3 linked regions of the Drosophila melanogaster genome follow. The protein of the gene in region 2 purifies or fractionates together with the protein of the main gene of each other region. This does not show direct contact. Each region holds a gene or a part of one and is shown on either strand. Other genes may lie near its edges.

What was found.
Region 1: the proteins of Mcm3 (region 2) and Cdc45 purify together in Drosophila melanogaster (affinity purification with western blotting; 5 studies listed by BioGRID, with this or other methods). This does not show direct contact.
Region 3: the proteins of Mcm3 (region 2) and Psf1 purify together in Drosophila melanogaster (affinity purification with western blotting; 2 studies listed by BioGRID, with this or other methods). This does not show direct contact.

The regions. Positions count from the first base shown.
Region 1 is NC_004354.4:1,028,381-1,032,134, forward strand, and holds the start of Cdc45 (cell division cycle 45), read right to left. Parts: upstream 2,177-3,754; 5' UTR 1,948-2,176; coding exon 1,037-1,947; intron 985-1,036; coding exon 168-984; 3' UTR 1-167. Other genes in the region: Rpp21 (ribonuclease P/MRP subunit p21), read left to right, coding at 2,463-2,629, 2,689-3,073; CG14630 (uncharacterized protein), read left to right, coding at 3,144-3,730.
Region 2 is NC_004354.4:5,321,727-5,325,480, forward strand, and holds the start of Mcm3 (minichromosome maintenance 3), read left to right. Parts: upstream 1-2,128; 5' UTR 2,129-2,270; coding exon 2,271-3,629; intron 3,630-3,692; coding exon 3,693-3,754. Other genes in the region: Rnp4F (RNA-binding protein 4F), read right to left, coding at 1-11, 93-601, 664-681. UniProt on the Drosophila melanogaster protein: Acts as a component of the Mcm2-7 complex (Mcm complex) (Mcm complex) which is the putative replicative helicase essential for 'once per cell cycle' DNA replication initiation and elongation in eukaryotic cells.
Region 3 is NT_037436.4:1,246,414-1,249,759, forward strand, and holds Psf1 (partner of Sld five 1), read right to left. Parts: upstream 1,265-3,346; 5' UTR 1,262-1,264; coding exon 653-1,261; 3' UTR 573-652; downstream 1-572. Other genes in the region: CG32318 (uncharacterized protein), read right to left, coding at 1-74, 141-220; Sac1 phosphatase, read left to right, coding at 1,878-3,346.

The sequences.
Region 1 (3,754 bases), 4.3 Mb from region 2:
CCTGGGAGCAATGATAAAGTTATTAACACACAATCGTACATAAATAGGGTTTGGTAAAATCTTAAACTAAGTGTACACGTGAGGTCTCGCGATATAAAACTAGCTTAGCACATAATATGATTGAGCAGGGATGTGTCGGTAGCAGGTAGAATAGAAAGCGGCGTGGATTAGGCTAACAGCACCGTGAGGGAGTCCAGAAAGCGTGTGAGGTCGCTCTGCCGCAGCTGCACCACCGCTGGCTCGAAAAAGTCCTGCAATAGAGCGACTCCACTCTTTTGCGCCGCCTGCTCGAAGGCCTTGCCAAAGAAGTTTCGCGGAGAGTCTTCCCTTACCGGGACAATGCCTACCAGCAAGCACATGCCCTCCGAAGCGTTCAGGGGACAACTTGCGATCAACGGCAAGTCCGAAGCCTGCCTGGCTCTACTCGTGGCCACATGTCCGCGCAAAAGAAAGCGAGCCAACAGTCCAAGGGCATAGGGGTATGAGAAGAACGCGTGTTCCTCCTGCAGAACGTAGTAGAAAAAGGAGCCCGCTGAATGAACTTGGCGTGCCTCCAAGCTGCTCTGCACCTGCCGAAAGACAGCAGCATGCAAAAGCTTCGCCTGGTCGATGCCTGCAGACAGCAGCTGCTTGTGCTGACGACTCAAAGCATCCGAGGCCTCCAGAAAGCAATCCTCCGGAGTCTTGTGCTTCTTCACGGACTCCATGATGGCGAGCAGGGCATAAACGTAGTCCGCCGCAGCATATCTGCTGCGGTAGCCGTAGCTCAGCGTAAAGGTGCCGTAAACTATGTCCGCTATGTCGTACTTCTCCGCCAGGCGCTCCACCATCGAGAAGAACTCCTTGCGCAACACCAAATCCATGGCTCCGTACGTTTGGCGGGCGTGCACCAAGGGAAGTCCCATCTCGAGCAGCAGCTCGTGTAATCTCTTCTCTCCGCGCAGTGTCCACAGCTTCAGCTGGCATGAGGAGTAGCGGGAATACCTACGATTATACTACATGATTAAATGGCATAGAATACACTGTCAATGCTCACCTCATGGATTCCGTGACGGGCCAGTGGCGGTACAAGACCAGATGCAAATCATTCTCGAAGGTTATCTTGGAGGCACTCATCGTGTTCTGATCATTCGTTTTGTTCGTCAGTCGGGACACATGCGACTGGATTTGCTCCAGCTCCAAAGTATACGCTCCACTCTCGATCTTGCCCAGCAGCAGCTGCTCCGTGATGCCCACAATGGCCCACCAGAGCAGGTCCATGTTGTCTTTTGAGAGCTTCCAGGCCAACTCAAAAACCATCAAAGCGGCGGACCTGCCGTAGTAGCTGAACTGCGTGTACTCGAACATAATCCTGTCGCGCTCAGACTCCCACTGTCGGCGGGCTCGCTGCTTCAGGATGCGTTGCTCGTGCCGCTCCAGGCGACTGAGCTTACGGCTCCTTGGCGCCTGATCCTCCTGGTCCGATTCCCCGGCACCACTGTCGTCGTGCTGCTGTTCCGTGTCAGAGGACTCGTCCTCATCCTCGTCTTCACCTTCAGAGTCATAGAAAATTGTCTCGAACGCTGGAATATTCTCCTCCAAGGAGGCATCCCCCAAGATGCACACCTGCCGATCGCTGTAGATGTTACACACATCCAACGGGCGATGTGAATCGCATATGAAGAAGGTCACGTCGTCCGACGGCTGCAGGAGCTCCACAATATCTACACAGCCGCCGCAGTTCACCAACACCACGTACTTAACGTCGCCCTGGTGCTCTCCATAGGCCCGCTTCAGACCCGTAACGCCCATTATGGGCACCACGGTGTACAGCATGTGATCGTACTTGAACAAGGCCTGCAGGATGCGACTGGCGCAGATGGCATCGATGTCGTAGTTGACCACGATCAAGATGCGCTTGCCAACCAGCTGGCGGTAAAAGTCGTTGCGCAGATCCTGGACAAACATGGTGAACACTTCTGGCGGGAATCCCAATCGTCTGCCTAATCTGTCTACGTCTAGACACAACGGTCTCTTTCCAATCGCTTACGATGCAAAGTAGAATTCTACATGAGTGCAGTGCGTTGCATTTTGAGGGTTTCCCTGCGGCTTGCGCTATTTTCCAGCTTCCCACTGCCGCTCCACTTTTGCTTTTCTGGCAATCGCAATTGGCGAATCAAAAACGCGGGAAACAGCTGGCTTAGCCAGTGTGACCAGTGTGAAATAATGGAATGGCGCGGAAATACAATCGTTGCTGGGAAAAGAATATTCTGCGAATTTCCAGAAATTTTGAGCTGCCAAAAACCGAAATTATAATCACATAATGTTGAATTTTGAGAGCTCTTTGCAGTTGCTGCTATTGCAGTAGGAGCAATATCTTGGCGCTCCAGATACGGTCACACCGCGACGCCCATGTGTTTTGAATTGCCACAAAAACGAAAGTCTACCAGTCGACCAGCTTTGTGCGACAAAAGCCTCAGAATATGAGCAGGGACAACAAGATGAAGCACCTGACCCAGCGGGCCATCTCCTCACGCATGAACTACCTGTTCCAGGCCTCGAATTTAATGGCAGTAGGCAATCAACCAAAATTGGCCGCCTATTATGGCAAACTCTGCCGCAATGTGGGCACCAAGGCTATCATGCACATGTAAGTGGCTTCTCCAGTGGAGTATGGGCAAATAATTCATGGCGTCAACTGGTTTCAAGGGCCCCGGCCGTGAAGCGTTCCCTGTGCAGGCGCTGTTTCCTTCCCCTGATTCCCGGAGTGAATACGGAGCTGCATGTGGAGGAAGGAGCACAGGAGGCCAAGACTGATGCACAAGCTCAATCGAACGGAGCAGTCAAAACGAAGAAAAAGCGCCATCGCAGGCAGCGCAAGAAGCCCAGAAGCCGGAAAACAGGGAACACCAACCAGGAGGAATCCGAGGAGCAAATCCAAGAAAGTACTGAACAGGTCTCTTTTTTCTTAGAGTGCTCACTCTGCTGCGGCCGGCGAAGCTTTGCGGCGAACAGTCAAAGAGACTGCTGGTTGGAGCAGCCGCAATCCATAGTGCAAGTGGTCTCGCTCCCCAAAGAGAAAGACGAGCGATAAGCTGAAGCTTTGCTTATCAGCCAGCCTGCCTGTTGTGCCATCACCTGATTGCTCGGCAGTTGAGCCTGGAATGCTTAGCTGTAGGCAACTTATTTCTCGGCTGAGCCTTCTTCGGCAGGCGAGCACATTTGCTTGTGTGCGACTATGCCCCGACTATGTAGAAGTCCAGGAGGAGCAGGGCAATCTCCTGAAGTACCCCCAAGTTTGGCTTAGGGACAACTGTCAGTGTGCCGAGTGCTTCCACGCCGCCACAAGAGCAAGAAAAAGTCACTGGGATCGTGGCCCGCTGAATATACCAGTGTCCCAAGTGGCCTACAACAAGGAGAGGAAACAGTTGGAGATCATCTGGCAGGACAAGCACAGGAGCACCTTCGATCTAGGCTGGCTGAGGGAAAGGGACTTTGGAGAGACTGGCAGAAAGCATTACTTGGAGGAGGTCTACAAGCCACCCGCTCAACTCTGGGGAAAAACGGAGTTCGAGGATGTGAAAAGAGAATTCCAATACGAGGATGTGCTGGAGCAAGATGCAGCCCTGAGAGTTTGGCTTGAGGCACTGGCAGTCCAAGGATTCGCCATTCTGAAAGGGGCACCCAACGACATAAATGTGGCTAAGAAATTGGCCGAACGAATTGGCTACATAAAACGCACCACCTACGGGTAAATATTAACCAATAGATGACA
Region 2 (3,754 bases):
CATTCAGTTTGCTGCATTAACGAGCATCAACATTAGCTAATGCCGATATTGAAAAAATGGAAAATGGGAGTGGGAGAAGCAGGCAAACTCACAATGCGATTCCAATGAGCGAGACCATTTGGGCAAACTTTTTGCTGGGCAACGCATTCAGCTCCTGATACGAGCGCTCTAGCTGATTTCCGCCGCCAGCGTTGTCGCTATCACTGTCACTGTCACTGGACACCTCACTGTTCGATTCCAATTCCGAGCCTTCGATCACGCCCACATCATCGCTACTGCTGCTGGAATCATTGCGCGCTCTGCCACGGCCAGCGGCATTGCCTCCCTCAGTCTCCTCCACTGACGGCTCGTCGTCCGATGAGATCAACTCAATGGTGGTCATATCCCCGCCGGCGGACGACGGTGGCCAGGTTGGGCGCGATCGTTGGCGCAGCTCCTCCGACTTGTGCTCCTCCTCCTGCTGCGGCGACTCACTGTGCCCCTGCTGCGGCGAGCCCTTGCCCTGATCGGGTATCACGATCAGATCATACTCGTCATACGCATCGTCGTCCAAATCCTCTGCCGGCATCTCGTCCAGCTCCTTCTCCAGCTGCCTTTCCAGCTGCAATATATTGGGCATACGCATAAGGGCGGCGCCTATTGGAGCTATAATCTGACACTCACCTGCTTGTCGGCGTCCATGCTTCAACCGTTTATTTTGGTGGAAAACTTTTCGCTTTCCGTGGAACTGCAATTTTTCCCCCCCAAAAAAAATACAGGAAATAAAAAAACAAAAAAAAAACCGCAAACGCAGGGCTGGCCAATCTAATATCGCGTTGTTGCGCTTATCGTGGAAAATTATTTGGTTTCAGGTTTGGTTTCCCTATTGGGCACTTTTTCTTGGAAAAACTTTCCAAGCACTTACTTTCTGAGAATTCGGTTAACGAAAACTTATCATTTTCTGTCAAGAAACACCGGTAAAGTGTGAATAATATGCGAATTTTTTTTTCGTTATAACAGTGTGACCAGTGCGTAATATCGATAGCTGTGCGCACTCGATAGTTGCGGCAGTCCAGACAATGGCTGTGTTACCAGCAGTGCAGTGAAGACTCGTGATGAGCAATTTGAAGACTAATTTCGGTAATATGTGGTCAATATTAACTGGTTTCTTTGGGCGGTCAGAAATGTATAGCAAAGTCAAATGATAAACTAAATCCTACCAAGAAATATAATTTATTTTAAACATATATATATTTTATAGAAATAAATAAAAATGGAATTTATTTTACTTAAGTGCTATATATATATGTATCATAAAATGTAAACAATTTCTGTTTCTTTTACACAAACTATTTAATAATAATAAACTATTTAATACGCAGCCACATCATAAATGGATTAAGTGTAGACAGTACTCAGGCAAATAATAAAAATATTATACCATTATATGAATGGATTAAGTGTGGACAGTAATTAAGCAAATAATAAATATATTACTATATACTATAATACTATAATAGGAATTGATTAGGTGTAAACAGTAATAAGTCATATAATACATATATTGTATATATTATAGGATATAGTAATAATAATATAATAATAATTAGGCAAATAATAAATACAAATATTATACTATTATAAGAATGGTTTAAGTGTAATAATATTATATATTATATAATAATTAAGCAAATAATAAATATATAATACTATTATAAGAATGGATTAAGTTTAAACAGTAATTAGGCACATAATACATATATTGTATATATTATAGGAATGTATTAAGTGTGGACAGTAATTTAGCAAATAATAAATATATTTTACTATTATAGCAATGGATTAAATGTAGATATTAATTAGGCAGATAATAAATATATACTACTATTATAGGAATTATTTGATAGTTTTCTATATTGTATGCATTACAAATTAAGTCAGATGTTCGGTGGAAACGTTTTAATTATAAATTTGCATATCAACGTATATTTGCTTATATTAGTTAGTTTGCTATGTCCACTATGTTTTATATAATAAAGTTAATAATTATATGTAAATATATAAAAAAAGGAAATAATTATAGCATATATATTTTGCCCGCGCAACCAGTCTTCAAATGCCCACAGTATGGTCACACTACGCTTTTCCCGCGAAAAAACTTTGCATTCGGCGTGCAATTTGCGACATTAGTTTTGTTTGCATTTGCGTTTGCCTCCGAACGGATCGAAGTTGATCCATAAGCGAAATCGAAAGAAGTTTTGTGAACTCCAGTGTACAGCTTAAGTCACAGAATGGCCCACGAGGGGGAGCAGTTCATCAAGGACATACAACGCGAGTATGTGGACTTTCTGGACGACGAGGAGGATCAGGGCATCTATGCGGGCCACGTCAAGGATATGATCGCGGAGAAGAGCAAGCGCCTGATCGTGAATGTCAACGATCTAAAACGCAAGAATCCGCAACGTGCATTGGGGCTACTGAGCAACGCGGCGGATGAGCAGCTGGCCTTTGGCAGGGCGCTCAAGGAGTATGCGTCCACGGTTGATCCGGGCTATGCCAAAATGCATGAGGATCTGTTTGTCGGCTTCGAGGGCTGCTTTGGCAATCGGCATGTGACGCCGCGCTCCCTCACCTCCATCTATCTGGGCAACATGGTGTGCGTGGAGGGCATTGTTACCAAGGTATCGCTGATTCGTCCCAAGGTGGTGCGCAGCGTTCACTATTGCCCCAATACGCGTAAGGTAATGGAGCGCAAATACACCGATCTCACATCGTTCGAGGCTGTGCCATCTGGCGCTGCCTATCCCACAAAGGACGAGGATGGCAATCTGCTGGAGACCGAATACGGTTTGTCCGTTTACAAGGATCACCAGACGCTGACCATTCAAGAGATGCCCGAGAAGGCGCCGGCTGGCCAATTGCCGCGTTCGGTGGATATTGTGTGCGACGACGATCTCGTGGATCGCTGCAAGCCCGGCGATCGTGTACAGATTGTGGGCAGCTATCGCTGTTTGCCGGGCAAACGCGGTGGCTACACCTCGGGCACGTTCCGCACCGTGCTGCTGGCCAACAATATATCGCTGCTCAGCAAGGAGAGCAATTTGGACATATCGCGCGAAGACATCATGCTGTGCAAGAAGCTAGCGAAGAATAACGACATCTTCGAGCTGCTCAGCAAGAGTTTGGCGCCCTCGATTCATGGACATGCCTATGTGAAGCAGGCCATTCTTTGCCTGCTGCTCGGCGGCGTTGAGAAGATCCTGCCGAATGGCACACGCCTGCGTGGCGATATTAATGTCTTGCTTATCGGCGATCCTTCGGTGGCCAAGTCGCAGCTACTGCGCTACGTCTTGAATACGGCACCAAGGGCCATACCGACAACGGGTCGCGGATCCAGCGGCGTCGGTCTGACGGCGGCGGTTACCACGGATCAGGAGACCGGTGAGCGGCGATTGGAGGCGGGCGCCATGGTCCTGGCCGATCGCGGTGTCGTCTGCATTGATGAGTTTGACAAGATGAGCGACATCGATCGCACAGCCATTCACGAGGTGATGGAACAGGGTCGTGTTACCATTTCCAAAGCGGGCATCCATGCCTCGCTCAATGCTCGCTGCTCCGTTTTGGCAGCCGCTAATCCGGTGTACGGAAGGGTAAGAGTCCATCCGAATCCGTCTGTTCATCGCTTTTCTTGCTAATTTCGTCTTCAATTCCAGTATGATCAATATAAGACGCCGATGGAAAATATTGGACTGCAGGATTCGCTGCTTTCGCGTTT
Region 3 (3,346 bases), on a different chromosome or scaffold from region 2:
TGACCACTTCCCGTGGTCCGACCACATCCACGACTTCGGCCGAGCGGATGCAACGTTCCCGAGAATTAAGGGGTCTACAAAAGATATAGAAGATATATGTAGATCTTTTTAAGGGGTTTTGGTTACATATACAAACTCACCTGACGCGCACATACACCTGGATGTTTTGGTTGGACTTCTTTTGGGGCTGGCGCGACGTATTCCCACCAGATATGTCCATATTGATCAATTGAAACAATTAATTGTGGTTTTAGCGCGTACAGTCCAAAAAATGACGCCTGTCGCGTGTATCGGTATGCGTGTGTGTGTGTGTTTGATTCCTGGAAATCCTTGTGCTTCACCTTCCACCGAGCCGAATGCTGATAACTGTAACTACTATTTACAGAAGGCTGGCGTGGAAAACCAATTTTCGCACTATTTCCAATGAGAACAGAGAGAAGCAGCGTCTTCAGTTGTCCGTTCAATTTTAAAATAATGCGCAAATAGTGTGACCGCAACACGGCACCCTGAAAATACCAACATCGAAAAATACAAGTATTGGAAAACTACAGAATGTTCAAATTATTTGAATTAAATAATTTTTTATCTTTTATTTGTTCTACATTAAACCATTAAATATGTATAGTAAACTCTTATTATCAAATAATCCCGACTAGGCTATGTGGTGAAGAATGCCCTGCCTCACGAGAGACTCCACCTGAGCTCGGGGCAGATAGTGCTGGCTGTTCTTCTTCAGGTGGATCACCTCGCCGTCGTCCAGCTCGAACTTCCCATAGTCCTCCATGCAGCGCACCTCGATGTAAAGTGACTTGGGCGGACGCAGATTGTTGGTTAGATCAATGGGCAAGCCCTGGTTGTAGCCCGCACTGCACATGTAGGCAGCCAGGGACTTGGAGTAGTTGTTGAAGAAGGTGACCTCCGGTTCGCAGAGTGCCTGCTTGATGTCCCCGGGGATAATGGGTCCAAACTCCCACCTGAGGGCCTTGATCCTCCTGCACCGCTCGTATAGGTAGGCCAGCAGGCACCTCTTGTTCCTCTGGAGAGCTGCGTGCCTGAAGTTGAGCAGGGGCCACAGACTGCGATCCCCGGAAGCATTGTAGCTGGAGGCCTGGGCCACGTTCTCCTCGAATATCGCCTTGATCTCCTCCAGCACCTGGCGCACCCCATCGTCGTCGAAGGCGGGAATTGTCTGCGACGATCTCTCCAGTTCTTTTAGCAGGTCGAAGGCTTTCTCGCCGAACATTTTTGTTTGTCGGCTCATTGTTGATCCTCTCTGTTTTTCTTTGGTTTGGGGATCTAGTGATGGATTCGCGCCAAAATGTTCGTCGACTTGTGGTATCGATACTTGGTATTTCTTTTGGTATATTTCAAAAAATAACAAAAATTTCATCCTCAGTAGCCATGTTCCTTTAAAATAGATTTGAAACGGTGATTTATCAAAATTTAGCTTACGAGGCCCAAATTATGCCGTCCTAAGAGGAAATGCCATCCTGGTTAGATTGGTGCAACTGCGGGAGTGGAGTACCACATGCAAGTAAGTGGGTGTGAACATCTTAAAGTATCGAATATATTAGCTATTCGCTATTCGGCTATTTAGCCAACTGGTCCATCCCTATCACACACGTAGTGGCAAAGAGTTGGCCCAAAAATCAGATGAACTGCAATTTGTGTGTTAAATCAATAAAGAACGAGTAACCTCCTGATTGTGTGGCTGATTTTGGTGCTGTGCGTGTGTGACAGCGGTGATAGCGACAGTGAATCCCCGATTACAGGAAGTGAGCAGAGAAAGAGGAAGCAGCACTGGCTATAGCTATTAACCCTTATCCCATTTTTAACCCTTAGTCTTCGAAGTGGGCCAGCCACCGCCCCCGGAAATCATGGACAGCAGGGAGGAGAACGCCGTGTACGATGACATGAACCTGTACATCGCACCGCAGAGCTTCATCATCGAGCCGAATGGAGGAGATGAGTTGCTGGTCATCGGGCGCCACGACAAAGTCACCAGGGTTCAGCCAGCGAGCGGAGGTCTTGTGGCCAACCTTCGCCCCACCAGGAGGATTTGTGGTGTGCTGGGAACCATTCACCTACTGAGCTGCGACTACCTTCTGGTGGCGACCCACCGCCTCTTCGTGGGCGTGCTCAATGGCGCAGTTGTGTGGAGATTAGCGGGCTATGACATCATACCTTACATTCCGAATTCCTTCCAGCGCAAGGAGAACGAAAACTACTTGCGACTGCTACGCCAGACACTTGACACCAAGTTCTTTTACTTCTCCTACCGCTACGACCTTACCAATTCGCTGCAGCGACAGCGGGAGGTGGCACAATCGCGGCCTGAAGTATCCGGGTTGCTCCAGCGCGCTGAGCAGCGATTCGTTTGGAATGGCTATGTGCTGCGGCAGTTCAACTGCGATAAGATGGAGAAGTTCCAGCTGCCACTCGTCCTGGGCTTCGTGTCTATCAACCAGGTGCAGATCAACGGGCAGACATTCTTCTGGAGCATCATCACCAGGCGTTCCGTGCAGCGGGCGGGCACACGGCTCTTCTGCCGAGGCAGCGACGAGCAGGGCCATGTTGCGAACTTCGTAGAGACCGAGCAAATAGTGGAGTTCAACGGGCAGCTGACTGGATTCGTGCAGACACGAGGCAGCATGCCCTTCCACTGGCACCAGCTGCCCAATTTGCGCTATAAGCCACGACCCGTTCTGGTGCCGGGCAAGGATCATTTGGCCGCCTGCGGGCTCCACTTTAAGGAACAGATCCGGCTGTATGGCAACAATGTGGCTGTGAATCTAGTGGATCACAAAGGTGCCGAAGGCGAGCTCGAGGCGACCTATGCCCGCCTGGTTCGAGAAATGGGAAATCCACAAGTGCGATACGAGTCTTTCGACTTCCACAGCGAGTGCCGTAAGATGCGCTGGGACCGGCTGAACATACTCATCGATCGCCTCGCCCATGAGCAGGATCAGTTCGGTGTCTATCATGTCTTCGACGACGGCAAATTGGTGTCCACGCAGACTGGTGTCTTCCGAACGAATTGTATCGACTGTCTCGATAGGACGAACGTCGTGCAGAGCATGCTGGCCCGCAGGTCCCTCACTGCGGTGCTCCAGAAGCTGGGAGTGCTTCATGTGGGCCAGAAAGTGGAACATGCCTCCGACATTTTCGAGAGCATTTTCAAGGGCGTGTGGGCGGACAACGCGGATCTGGTGTCGCTACAATATTCCGGAACGTGTGCGCTCAAGACCGACTTCACCAGGACGGGCAAGAGGACCAAGTCTGGTGCCATGCAGGACGGCAAGAACTCGCTGATGCGCTACTATCTGAACAACTTCGCCGATGGCCA